Coturnix japonica: one gene and its partner. The protein of the gene in region 2 interacts with the protein of the main gene of each other region in a biochemical or structural test. Links are inferred from orthologs where the notes say so. Each region holds a gene or a part of one and is shown on either strand. Other genes may lie near its edges.

Region 1 (5,101 bases), on a different chromosome or scaffold from region 2:
TAAGTTTTTGAATGAAATAATTTTGTAACTTTTCATAGTGAGGTAATATCACAGGGGAACTGCAATCACAGTTTGGCATAGGTCCACGTCATATAAACATGAAATGCTGTATGCACACCATAAAACATTACTGTTATCTGTAAAGTCAGTGAATATTTGTCTTCATAATTACACTTAACTGAGCACTATATTAAATAAATAACAAAGTGGGTTTCGTAGCTGTAAACTGCATACACTTATAAACTGCAGACTGATTTATAAATCGTCCAAAACCATTCACTCATTCTAACTTTCTGCTAATTGTATATTGAGAATACCGAGTTATTAGGAACAGTCATTTCTGTACAGGTACATGGCTGATGGAGATCACCTATGTTTGGAAAGCTGGCAGTTCATATGTATTTTTAACAGCATAGACAGAGATGTAAGTGCTAGATGCCAAGGATGGCTTCAACAAACCCAATAAGGCGTGCCAGGTTCCAAGGCTACCATAATACTGGCAAAGGCAGAATAACACAGTATATTTACAATACATATAACTCAACCTCATGAGGTGAAATTTAAATGAATTCTTAATTTGTAACAGCAGCTATATATACAATTGTGCACAGGATTACAGGGAGGCAGCAGCGTTCGCTTTTGCTAAAAAGCCCGTCTTGCATGAAGAATGTGCAATGCTCAAGTTTGGGGATTTTTTGTTTTTACTAGTCTGACAGAATGTGTACAAAGGACACTGGAAAGACCCCTTTCCTCTCTGGATGTCCTTCAATGTGTCCGATCTGCAACACAGGAGAAATAAATAGGTGTCAGTACATGCACAGAACATTCACAGATAGCATTAACTCTAATCAAAACCTGCAGAACTACACAGGTGCTTTGGGAACTCTGCAAGTTTTTTGACAGTTTAACCCAGCATCCTGGGTTAACATCTGAGTTTGTGTAAGGGAACAAAATACAAATTTATTTATGAGACAAAGGAACTGCATCTAAGGAGAACAAAGCAGCTGCAGTTGAATTTAGAGACCTACAGAGGCAATGCACACCAGTGCACTACATGAATCTTCCAACAACAGAAGCCTGACTTTCTTTCATCCATGGACTGACTTGCAGTAACAGGTCACACCTCTCTCAAAACCATTCATCTTAGTTAACTGTGTAAATCCTAAACATCTCACGTGTCCGCTTACGGTTGTGAAGTTCCTTTTGATAAACTGCATGGCTGGATGGGAGAAATCCTATAGAGATTTCACTTGAAGTGATGCAGGCCCAGCTATCCTCCTCAATCAGTTCCTGTGACTTCTAATGATTTATGCGTATACCAGTGCTTGTAGCAAATAACAGCGCTGTTTGATTAAGAATCCTCCACATACCATTTCCTAAGCGTTTCACATAATAATCATTTATAAGGAAATATCCAAGCGATCTCTAACAAAAATCACACTTTCTATATGAACTTCTCATGTTTAAAAAGCCTTATCATCGACAACTGTCCAAGAAACAGCACTAGACTAGTAGTCTTGATTGTCCACTCATGTCCTGCCACAGTGCTGCTCACCACTTTCAGAACAACGTACCTCCTTCCTCTGCCATGAGCTAACAAAACGGGAAGGGGAAGCGTGCAGGGCTGGCCATTTCCTCTTGCAGAGCCAAATTTTTTAAGCAAATGAGTCAATGGCCCTCATTTCCCTTCACAGAAACGCTCAAACTGGAGCGCTCAGACTGGAATCTGTCAGGCACGTGGCTTTTTTAAATCCCTGGGTACTTCACAAACAGATTCGGCAACTAGTGACAGTATAATCAAGGATTGGATGATGTTGCTAATACAGCAGCTTTTCGCTTCACACTGCCCTTCTGATACCATCTTTTCAGCCAAAGCTTTTCCGCACTTAAATGTCCCGCTGATGAATGGAAGGAAACCGTGTAGCTGGGACCACAGTAGTAAGGGCTGCATTGCACTTAGGTTAGGAAATGGTAGGCAGCAGTGGATTAAAACAAATTCTTACTGCAATCTGAATTCAATCTGTCTATTTTTCCAAAGTAATAGCTCTTAGGTAGGAAGTATGAGGTAGGAGGCAGCAGGCAGACTGTCAGGAGAGAGCTGGAGCCTCCAAGCAGGGCTGAGAAAGCCTGAGGTTAGCACTAAAAGAACCAAAGACAATATGCAGTCTAGAGAAGGGCTGGTTATGAAACAAAACTACGCCACAGGAGGGACGAAAATGTTGATTAACTACCTCTTACTTAGGGAAGAAAATCAGCAGCTTATGGCGCTAATTACAAAGTTTTTCAGACTCCCAGCAGCCTCTACAGTTAAAACTTAATGTTTCTGCAGGACTGAAGATAATTACACAACTCATTTTTCATAGAAAGTATATAAGCATGCTAAACGGAGTGATGATATGACACCATCTCTTTATTTGATGGAAAGCCAGCGTGCATTACTGCCTGAACATAAATACAGATGTGTTACTGTGATCCAGCAGTGAAGCCAAGCCCAGCCAGGATGGGGCTAGCAGACTCCTCAGGAGAGGAAGACCCTACTAAGGGTGTCTCCTCTAGTATTAATTTAAATGCTGGATATTGGTTCAAACAAACTCTTCCCCTCCCCTGAATAAATAAGAACAAAAACAACAACAACAACAAAAAAAATTGGTAAAAAAAAACCCAAAACAACAAAAAGGTTTTCCTTTAAGAGCCATAAAGAAGTGACGTGGAACTCTAAAAGGAAAGGATACATACCCACCACTCTTGGTCCTCTTCCCCAGTTACAATAATTACTTCTCCTTCAACAAAGGTGAGCTCATCATCATTATCTGCCTGGCAGTCATAAATTGTCTTCACTCGCCTAACCTTGTTCTTTCCCTGAAAATACAGCAAAGTTTTAGATGGAAGACACGAGGGAGACAGGAAACACATCACATGAATTCTGCCCCCTCATTCTATTTTACAAAACCGCGAAGACCACCCAATTTCCTTCTCTTCAATCAAGGCATAAAATTAAAAAAATCCAAGTATTAAAAAACAAGAAGGAAAGGAAGAAAAGATCTGTATGAGTCTATTTCTCTTTTTTTTAAAGTTTCAGAATTCACAAGAAATTTTAACACTCAGCACACTGCTTAAGTTTCTTACACCTCCTTCATCAAAGCCTAAACAATGCCTTTACATTACTCCAATCCAGCACCACCCGCCTTCGTTCTCCCATCATACATGATTAAACAAAAAAGAAAGAAAAGCCGAACAAACACTGAACCTCAACAGAAATACCCCAAACAGCACCGCCATGGGAACAAACTGAAATCCAATCTCATTTCAGCATCAAAAGAGAGGTAAAGGCTGAGGAAAATGCTGCATTTAAATCGCAGCGTTCCTTGCAATTTGGGGATCTAGCAGGAAAATACAGAATTCTTTGATTTCAGATGTGTTTTTAGGACTGTATCAGGAAATTACTTTCTGAATGGCTTTCAGTCCTGAGTGTTAGCAATTTCTTACTAATTTTTAACTTCAGGTGGCACAACATTATTTATTATGAATTGCCATCACAACATTCTCACAACTCCGCTATTCTGCATCCAAGTGTTTTCTAGGTCATATTTTGCTGCACACTACTAGCTCATGTAAGAAAGCCTGAGCCATGGACTCCTCCCCGAACATATGTTTCTCATGGCAGGAAAACCGCTTTAAATTATTTCCAAACAGAGTAAGTAAGCAGCGCTAACAGAAATATGCTGCTACTTTATACTCACAGAAATGCACTGCTGCTTCATATTCCTGTATTTTTATAATGGGTGCTTCTTCAAAACCTACAGTTCCTCTTTGAACAGAGGTAGACAGATAACAAGAACACAAACAAGAGGAGCAGAAGGAGATGAGAAGCAGGAGGGTATGAAGGAACAGTCAGCAGGTTTAGAGGGATTTGTGCCAAAAGAAACTCAACAGAGGAAATTTCCTACGGAGTCTTCTCTTTGCTGTTACCTTCCCATCTGAAACACCTCCACGTTCTGGCAGCAAAGCACCTCCAGCTCAGCAGCAGAGCAGGCACACAGCAAGGAGAACTCCCATTAAAGTCAAGTTATAGAAAAATAACAATTCTATACATAAGGGGCCATGCAGTTAACACAGCATAAGATCAGGAAAATGTGCTATTGAGACAAACAGAAATACCTTAGGTGAAATTTGTATGAGATCAAAGGACTTCTTTCTCTCTTTTTTTTTTTCCCCAGCAAGGATTTACTGCAGCAAGAAGTTACTTCAAAGAATGCTTTTTTTTTTTTTTTTTAAAACAAATTCAGATAATGTGAACAAAAAATCTCAACTATCACAAGGGACTGGAATGCAATATTAATATGGATGTTTGGAACCAGTCCCTGCTTTCAATTCCAGAGAAGCTTTACAAAGGAAAAGAACTTCCAATCAATGCTCCAGCGACAAAGGGAAACAACTGCCTATGAGAAAGGAGAACTCAAGCCTGGGCTGGTATTAACCCTGAGAACATTCACAGACAGATGGGGCTGAAGGAAGTACAAGGTTGACCAGAATAGAAGCTGGGATGCTGGTGCATTAAAAGTAAAATGAAAGCAAATACAGGACACCTCATTTGGTACTATAAACAAACTCACAGAAGCAATAACAAAAAAAAAAAAACCCTCACAATTCTGCATCCAAATATTAGTACCTATTCGATAGTGCGACCAAACAATCATCAGCTGCGGTCATTAAACAATTTCTCCATGTCTATGCTCAATCACTGTTTAAAAAGAAGTATCTTACCTCCTTTATAGAACACATACACACAAATGAACCAATCAGGTGTTCAGTGATATTTCACAAGCTCTCAGAATAGGATTCATTTCTTCAAAAACATCCTTATGTACCACTAGTGTGTGTGTGTATGTATGTATATATAACATATATATATTCTACAAATTCCAGTGCAGGAATTTATGTCAATTTTTGCCTTTTTATTTTAGTGGCTATCAAAATCAAGCCTGCATTCCCATAAGCAGTGCTGGCTGCTGTCACAGCACTTCATGCACTGTGACGCAGCATTTCATCACACGGTTTGTGCTGAGAGGACACAGAAACAGACTGAAAGCACAAACACAAC
Region 2 (5,694 bases):
TGATAGAATTCCTGAGCTGGAGGGTCCCTGCGAGGACCACTGAGTCCAGCTCCTGGCTGCACGCTTCAATGGCTCCAGGTGGGGATGGCAAAAAGCTGCTTGAGTTCCTGAAAAGATCAGAGCAAAGGCTCTGCTGCATCTGTCTGCGACTCAAACACCACCACTGTGTTATTCATAGTAATAATTCCTACAAATATAGTTGGAATTTGCAGCGAGCAAAGCGCAGCTCACCTCAGGAACAGAATCTGTGGAACAAGACTTAATGCACGCTCGCCAAAGGGATGCTTAAAAATAAAGCTGGCCAGAGATGAATGGCTGTTTTGTTATAAATCCACAGCTGGGCTGAGGAGGTCAGGACCGACCGAGCATTGGACCTCAAAGGGCCCCTCTCACTTTGCAGAGAGATTTTAGGGGCCCCACGGAGCGGTTGGATGGGGCTCATAAACAGGTCTGAATGGTTTGTCCAGAGAAGTCATGGGTGCCCATTGCATGGACATGGCCAAGGCTGGGCTGGCTGAGCCCTGGGCAGCCTGATCCAGTGGGGGCAGCCAGCCCAGGGCAGGAGTTGGAGCTCAACGATCTTTATTTCCCTTCCAAACCAACCACTTTAAGTTTCATGGGGCACTGGGGGCTCCCCAGCACTACACAGCTGTGGGGCTGAGCCTCAGGGCTCTGTGGGGAGAAACGCAGCAGCACCGGTGTCACCAGGCATTGCAACACACCGTCTGTGTGCAGCATGCCTGAAGGGGGAAGCCATGGGCAGCTGTTCTGATTTTTCCTGATGAAATTGCTTGAAGGTCAACAAAAAAGAGCACAAAAGTAGCTGTGCATTTGTAACGAGAAATCGAGATGTGCCCACATGGGTGAGCCAGGAGAAGTACTCAGTGAGAGTGACTTGGAATTGGAAAGCACCTGCCTTTCACTTCTAGTTTCAGCCTCTGCATCCCTCTCTGCCCTGCCCCCCCACCGTGTGTTTTTGGTGCTACTGAAAGGTGAAGAGAAAGAAGAAAGAGGTTTCAGGGAAGGGAGTGGAATGCCTCACAAAGAGCATGGGTGGGATGGTGAGAAGAGCAGGGCTGGGAGTGGGGCAGGAGGAGAGGGCAGCTGGAGGGCTGCAGGTGAACGCGCCTCGGGCACAGAGCTGAGCCGTGAGCCGGGAGGGCCCCTGCCAGGGTGCTGCGAGGGCACGTTGCTGAGCCAGAGCCCCAAAGAGGAGAGGCTGGATGCCAGGAGTGTCTGGTGGCCATTTTCAATGTGGGTCTGGGCTCAGCCCGTGCAGCAGCACCTCGGGGCTGGGGCCGAGCCCGGTGCCCGGGGCTGTGCTGCCTGCAGGAGGCTGCGGGGCTGTGGGGCTGGGGCAGCCGCTGTGGGTGCAGCATCCATCCATGCCCTGCTATGCCCTGTAGAATTAACAACACCGAAAGGACTTTCCACGGACACCAGGCTGCAGTCTGGGGCCGCAGCCTCCAATTCATGCAGGGAGCGATGATCAGGCTGCTCCTGGCAGGAAGGCCCCCCCGTGCGATGCGCTGGCCGGTGGGGACGGCTCGGTGTGTGCATGACTCCCGGTGACTCATGGGTTTGTTGGCCCTCGGCAGTGTCACGGGAAATATTTTTTTAATAACTCAAATGAGCCGGGGGAGGGGTGCGCACTGCAAACAAACTCAGTCACCCTCCGCACTGATTCTGAAGCGCTGGAGTTTCCAGAAGCCCCCGCTCTGGTCGCTGTGAGGGGCAGCACGAGGGGTGGGCACGACGTCCACGCTCGTGGCTCCACGGGGAGGCTCACGGCACGCTCTTCTTTCCCTGTTTATTCCCCTGCGCTGAAGTTTTGCCTCCTCCCCGAGATCAGGGGGATGGGGACGAGGATGCAGGAGGGCGCAGAATCCATCACAAAGCGGCTGTTCGCTGCGTGCCCCGGTCGCTATAATAAAAGCGAACCGCAAAGCAGCCGGGTTGTAACCTCAGTGCAAATCACCGCTCTCCTCTCGCCGATCCCGGGCGGGCAGCTCGGAGCCGAGCTCAGAACCGCGCCGCGCTCCCACGCGTGGCCCCGCCGCGACCGGGCGGCTCCGGGACGGGGTGCGTCGGTAGAGCCGCGGGCGGGGGCGGCTCCGGTCGCTGCTCCGCACCCCGCCGAGCCCGGCAGCCCGGAGGCTTCTTCCTTAAAAGAAAAAAAAAAAAAACCCGAGGGGAGGGGCTCGGCGATTTTTCTTTTCTTTTTTTTTTTTTTTTTCCTATAAGCCGTTTCCGGTTTACTGCTGCCATATTCCTAGTTTTTTTTCCCTCCCTGTGGGCTGTTCCCCCCTTACACACACACACACACACACACACACACACACACCCCGTACAAGGGGTGATCGGGGGCGGGGAAGCGGCGCTCCGGATCCGCGGTGCTGCGCGATGCTGCCGGCGGCGCAGCCCTGAGCGTCCGGCACGGCCCGGCCCGCGGTGCGGGCACCCAGAGCGGCGGCGGCGGCTGCGGGGGGCGGCGGCCGCGCCCCCGGCACGGAGACAAAGCCGCGGCCGAGCCCTGGAGGGGAGCGGCGGGGTCCGGCCTCGCGGGGCGCACACGCGGGAGGTGAGCGGGGGCTGCGCGGGGTCCGGCGGCGGGGATGGTCCCCGCGGGGTCCGGCTGCGGGGCCGGCGGGAGATGCTCGCCGTGCGGTGGAGGATGCCCGGGTGGCAGCGGGGCGGCTCCGTAATGCCCGCGGTAACGGCGGGGCGGCTCCGGGTTGCGTGGGGCGGCCGTGGGTCCGGCGGAGAGTGCGCGGGGTCCCGGGGCCGGCTGCGGGGCTGCCGGGGGATGGGGACGGGCCCGCCGGGGGAGCGGAGGGGGGAGCTGCGGGGTCCGGCCCCGCCTGCCCGCACTCCCCTTTGTTGTGATCGGGGGCTGCGGGAAACACTGGGAGAGCAGAGCAGGGAGAGCCGGGCTGTGTGCAGGCCGGGGCATGAAATATTCATCGCCCCCCTGCTTTGATGTCTCCTGCTCCGTTTCCCTCTCGATATTCGCTCGTCGGTGATTCGGGGCTCGTGTCCGCGCTCCGCCGGGCGTTCGCTCTGCCCTCGCCCGGGGAGGCTGCAGAGCCCCGCGCTGCCCGGGGAAGGGCTGTACCCGGCCGGCAGGTTCTCCCGGAGCAGCCCGGCTGCTGTGCGTGTCTCCGCCGCGAGGAAGCACCGTGGGACTTGTCTGAACCACGCCGGGGCCTGGGTGGACTTTCCCCTGCTGACCGTGACCCCATGCAGTGCGCTCGGTCCCCGGCTCAGCCCCACGGCAGTTTGGTTTCCTCTTGACCGTCCCTTCTCTCTGCTGCCCGGGAGCTCTGAGGGTACAGGGAGCAGCTCCCGTGGGTGATGTTCCCCCACTCAGTGGTGTTTGGAGCCCGTAGGGTGCTCAGTGCCTGAGTGCTGGGAATGGGACAGCACTGATCCAACAGCATCGGATGTAAACGGAGCTGTGGGAATGTGGCAACAAAAGACTCAGTTTGGTGTTTTTCCTCCTTCCGTGCTGGTGCTCACCCCTGTCCCCAGGGATGTGATGGGGCATGTGGTGGGATGCCGGTGACCTTGTGCTTGGGAGCAGTGTGATGCTGTTGTTCCCCTGCACTCTTCTGCAGGATGATCCCCTGCTGCTGCTGCTTGTTTGTGCTGCTTCGTGCTGGCTCAATGGTTGGCCCATGGACAAACCTCTGCTGCTCAGTGTCTGAGATGAGGCTCCCTGGGGAGCACTGTGCCACTGTGAGCCTGTCTGTGATCCCACTGCACCTCTCCTTAGCAGGCTGTGGGCTGCACCCATTCCCAAGCTTTGACCTTATCTTCTTAGCTTTGGATCTTATCTGAGCACCTCGTGCTCAGGAGCTTCCCCAAAATACAGCCCGGTGATTTTGGAGCTGGGGTTGCTTATGGGCCATCACAGCAGAGGGATGTGCAGTGCTCGCTGTTAAGATTGTCAGTGGCCTTGCAGTGCTCCCTGTGTGATGGAGATGCCCTACAGATACCTCTGCTTTTGAATGACATTGTCCTGGAGTGACTCAAGATCACCCAGGTGGGTCTGTCTGTCCCAGCACAGCGAGGGAAGGGGCCGTAATTTGCAGAGTCTGATGTGTGAAGGCTCTGCTGCATACACAAGGAACAAACTGGTGGCACAGAGGGGACATGGGCTCCGGGCTGGCTCACAATGACATGTTTTAATGACCAGTGAGCACGTGCCACGTCTGGATGGAGAAGGGGTTGCAGCAAGCCCTGGGCTGGAGCACTCAGTCCACGTGCCTAAGGGGAAGCACAGCCGTGCATCACTGCTGCCCCGCACCACCCCAGGCATGGCAGGGGAAGCACCAAGGGCTATCTGCAGCACTATTGCTTCCTGTACCATCCGTCCTGCAGCACGGTTTCTAACTTGGCCCTTTATCTCTGGGAACCATTTCCCAGCTGACCTCACTTCCTCAGAGCTTCTGAGCTCAAAGCCCTCTCGGAAGTGTGGATGCAGGGTGAGCAGTGTGGGTCAGCTCCCTGGAGTGTGATGCTGTGTGATAGTCTGCTCTGCAGTCTGCTTGGCCAGGGGAAAAAGGAGCTGGTTGGTGTGGGCCATATGCTCAGTGCAGCCCTGCTCTGGTGCTGTGACCTTGGTGTGAGGGAAGTGGCACTGCTTTGCACATGCCTCTGCACATGCACAGGCTGAAAAGAAAGCCTTGAAACAGATTTCATGTGGTTTGAACGTGGGCCAGGAACCAGGACCTGTAAATCTGCGTCTTGCTCTGACTTCCCTCCAGGCTACGGATCTCCTCACTGCCCTCCTGGGCACAGAGCTGGGAATGCTTGGGATGCACTGGGAGCTGCCGGGGGGGGCAAAGCAGTGCTGGAGATGTGGAGGGGATGAAAGCAATAGTGGGGATACAGGGAGGAGAAGCTCTGGGGAAGCTGGGGTCTGGCTGGTGGCTTTGCTTCAGACCTTATGGGGGGCTGCTCCCAGCCCCAGGATGGCTGTGCTGTGCAGAGGTGTGGAGGAGCTGGAATACCCACAGTGTAACGTGAGGGGTCCTGTCTTGAGGTCTGCGTTGGTGAAGGGTTTGGAGAGGAAAATGGGGAACTGCAGCACCCGGAGATAACACAGTCTCACCCCTCAGCCTTTCTCCATTCCAAAGCCCAGTGTCATTGGGCACAGTGGGCTCACAGCACTGGGCTGTGCCCGCTGCCACACGCCATCCTTGCACACAGGGTCCCCACTCCCACACTGTGCCTGGTCCTGGCTGCAGTTTCCCAGTCCCAAATGGCACCGTGGTGCTGCAGCACCTCGTGGGTCTGGATGTTCCCAGGGCGGAACCGTGAGCTGGAGAACTTCTGCAATATGGAAAAAAAGCACAGTGGCAGCAGCTCTTGGAGTCCCTCCCTGTTCAGCTGGGCTCTTTCCTTCCCCTGGCAGCAGCCACTGCAAGATAAGGGAGCACTGCAGCCCTGGGGAGCTGCACTGCCACCCCGGCGTGGGGTTGTGTCCTCATGGGTGGGAATGCTGAGCTGCTGTCTGTGGGATGGGGTGAGTGCAGGCTGTGCTGTGCTGGGGGTGGATGGGATGGGGATGGCCCGAATCCCACTGGTGGTGGCCAGCACATGGGGCAGGGTGGAGGGCTGCATTGGAAGCTCACAGGGTGGACAGGCTCAGAGCACTGGGACCAGGTGTGGGGCCATCGCTGGGAGCTG

Evidence for each region.
Region 1: the proteins of SRC (region 2) and ASAP1 form a complex in vitro, tested with the Homo sapiens proteins (2 studies listed by BioGRID and IntAct). The link is inferred for Coturnix japonica from reciprocal best matches to the Homo sapiens genes SRC and ASAP1.

Annotation. Positions count from the first base shown.
Region 1 is NC_029517.1:126,740,864-126,745,964, forward strand, and holds part of ASAP1 (arf-GAP with SH3 domain, ANK repeat and PH domain-containing protein 1), read right to left. Parts: intron 2,860-5,101; coding exon 2,737-2,859; intron 780-2,736; coding exon 705-779; 3' UTR 1-704. UniProt on the Homo sapiens protein: Possesses phosphatidylinositol 4,5-bisphosphate-dependent GTPase-activating protein activity for ARF1 (ADP ribosylation factor 1) and ARF5 and a lesser activity towards ARF6.
Region 2 is NC_029535.1:4,437,671-4,443,364, forward strand, and holds the start of SRC (proto-oncogene tyrosine-protein kinase Src), read left to right. Parts: upstream 1-2,317; 5' UTR 2,318-2,581; intron 2,582-5,694. UniProt on the Homo sapiens protein: Non-receptor protein tyrosine kinase which is activated following engagement of many different classes of cellular receptors including immune response receptors, integrins and other adhesion receptors, receptor protein tyrosine kinases, G protein-coupled receptors as well as cytokine receptors.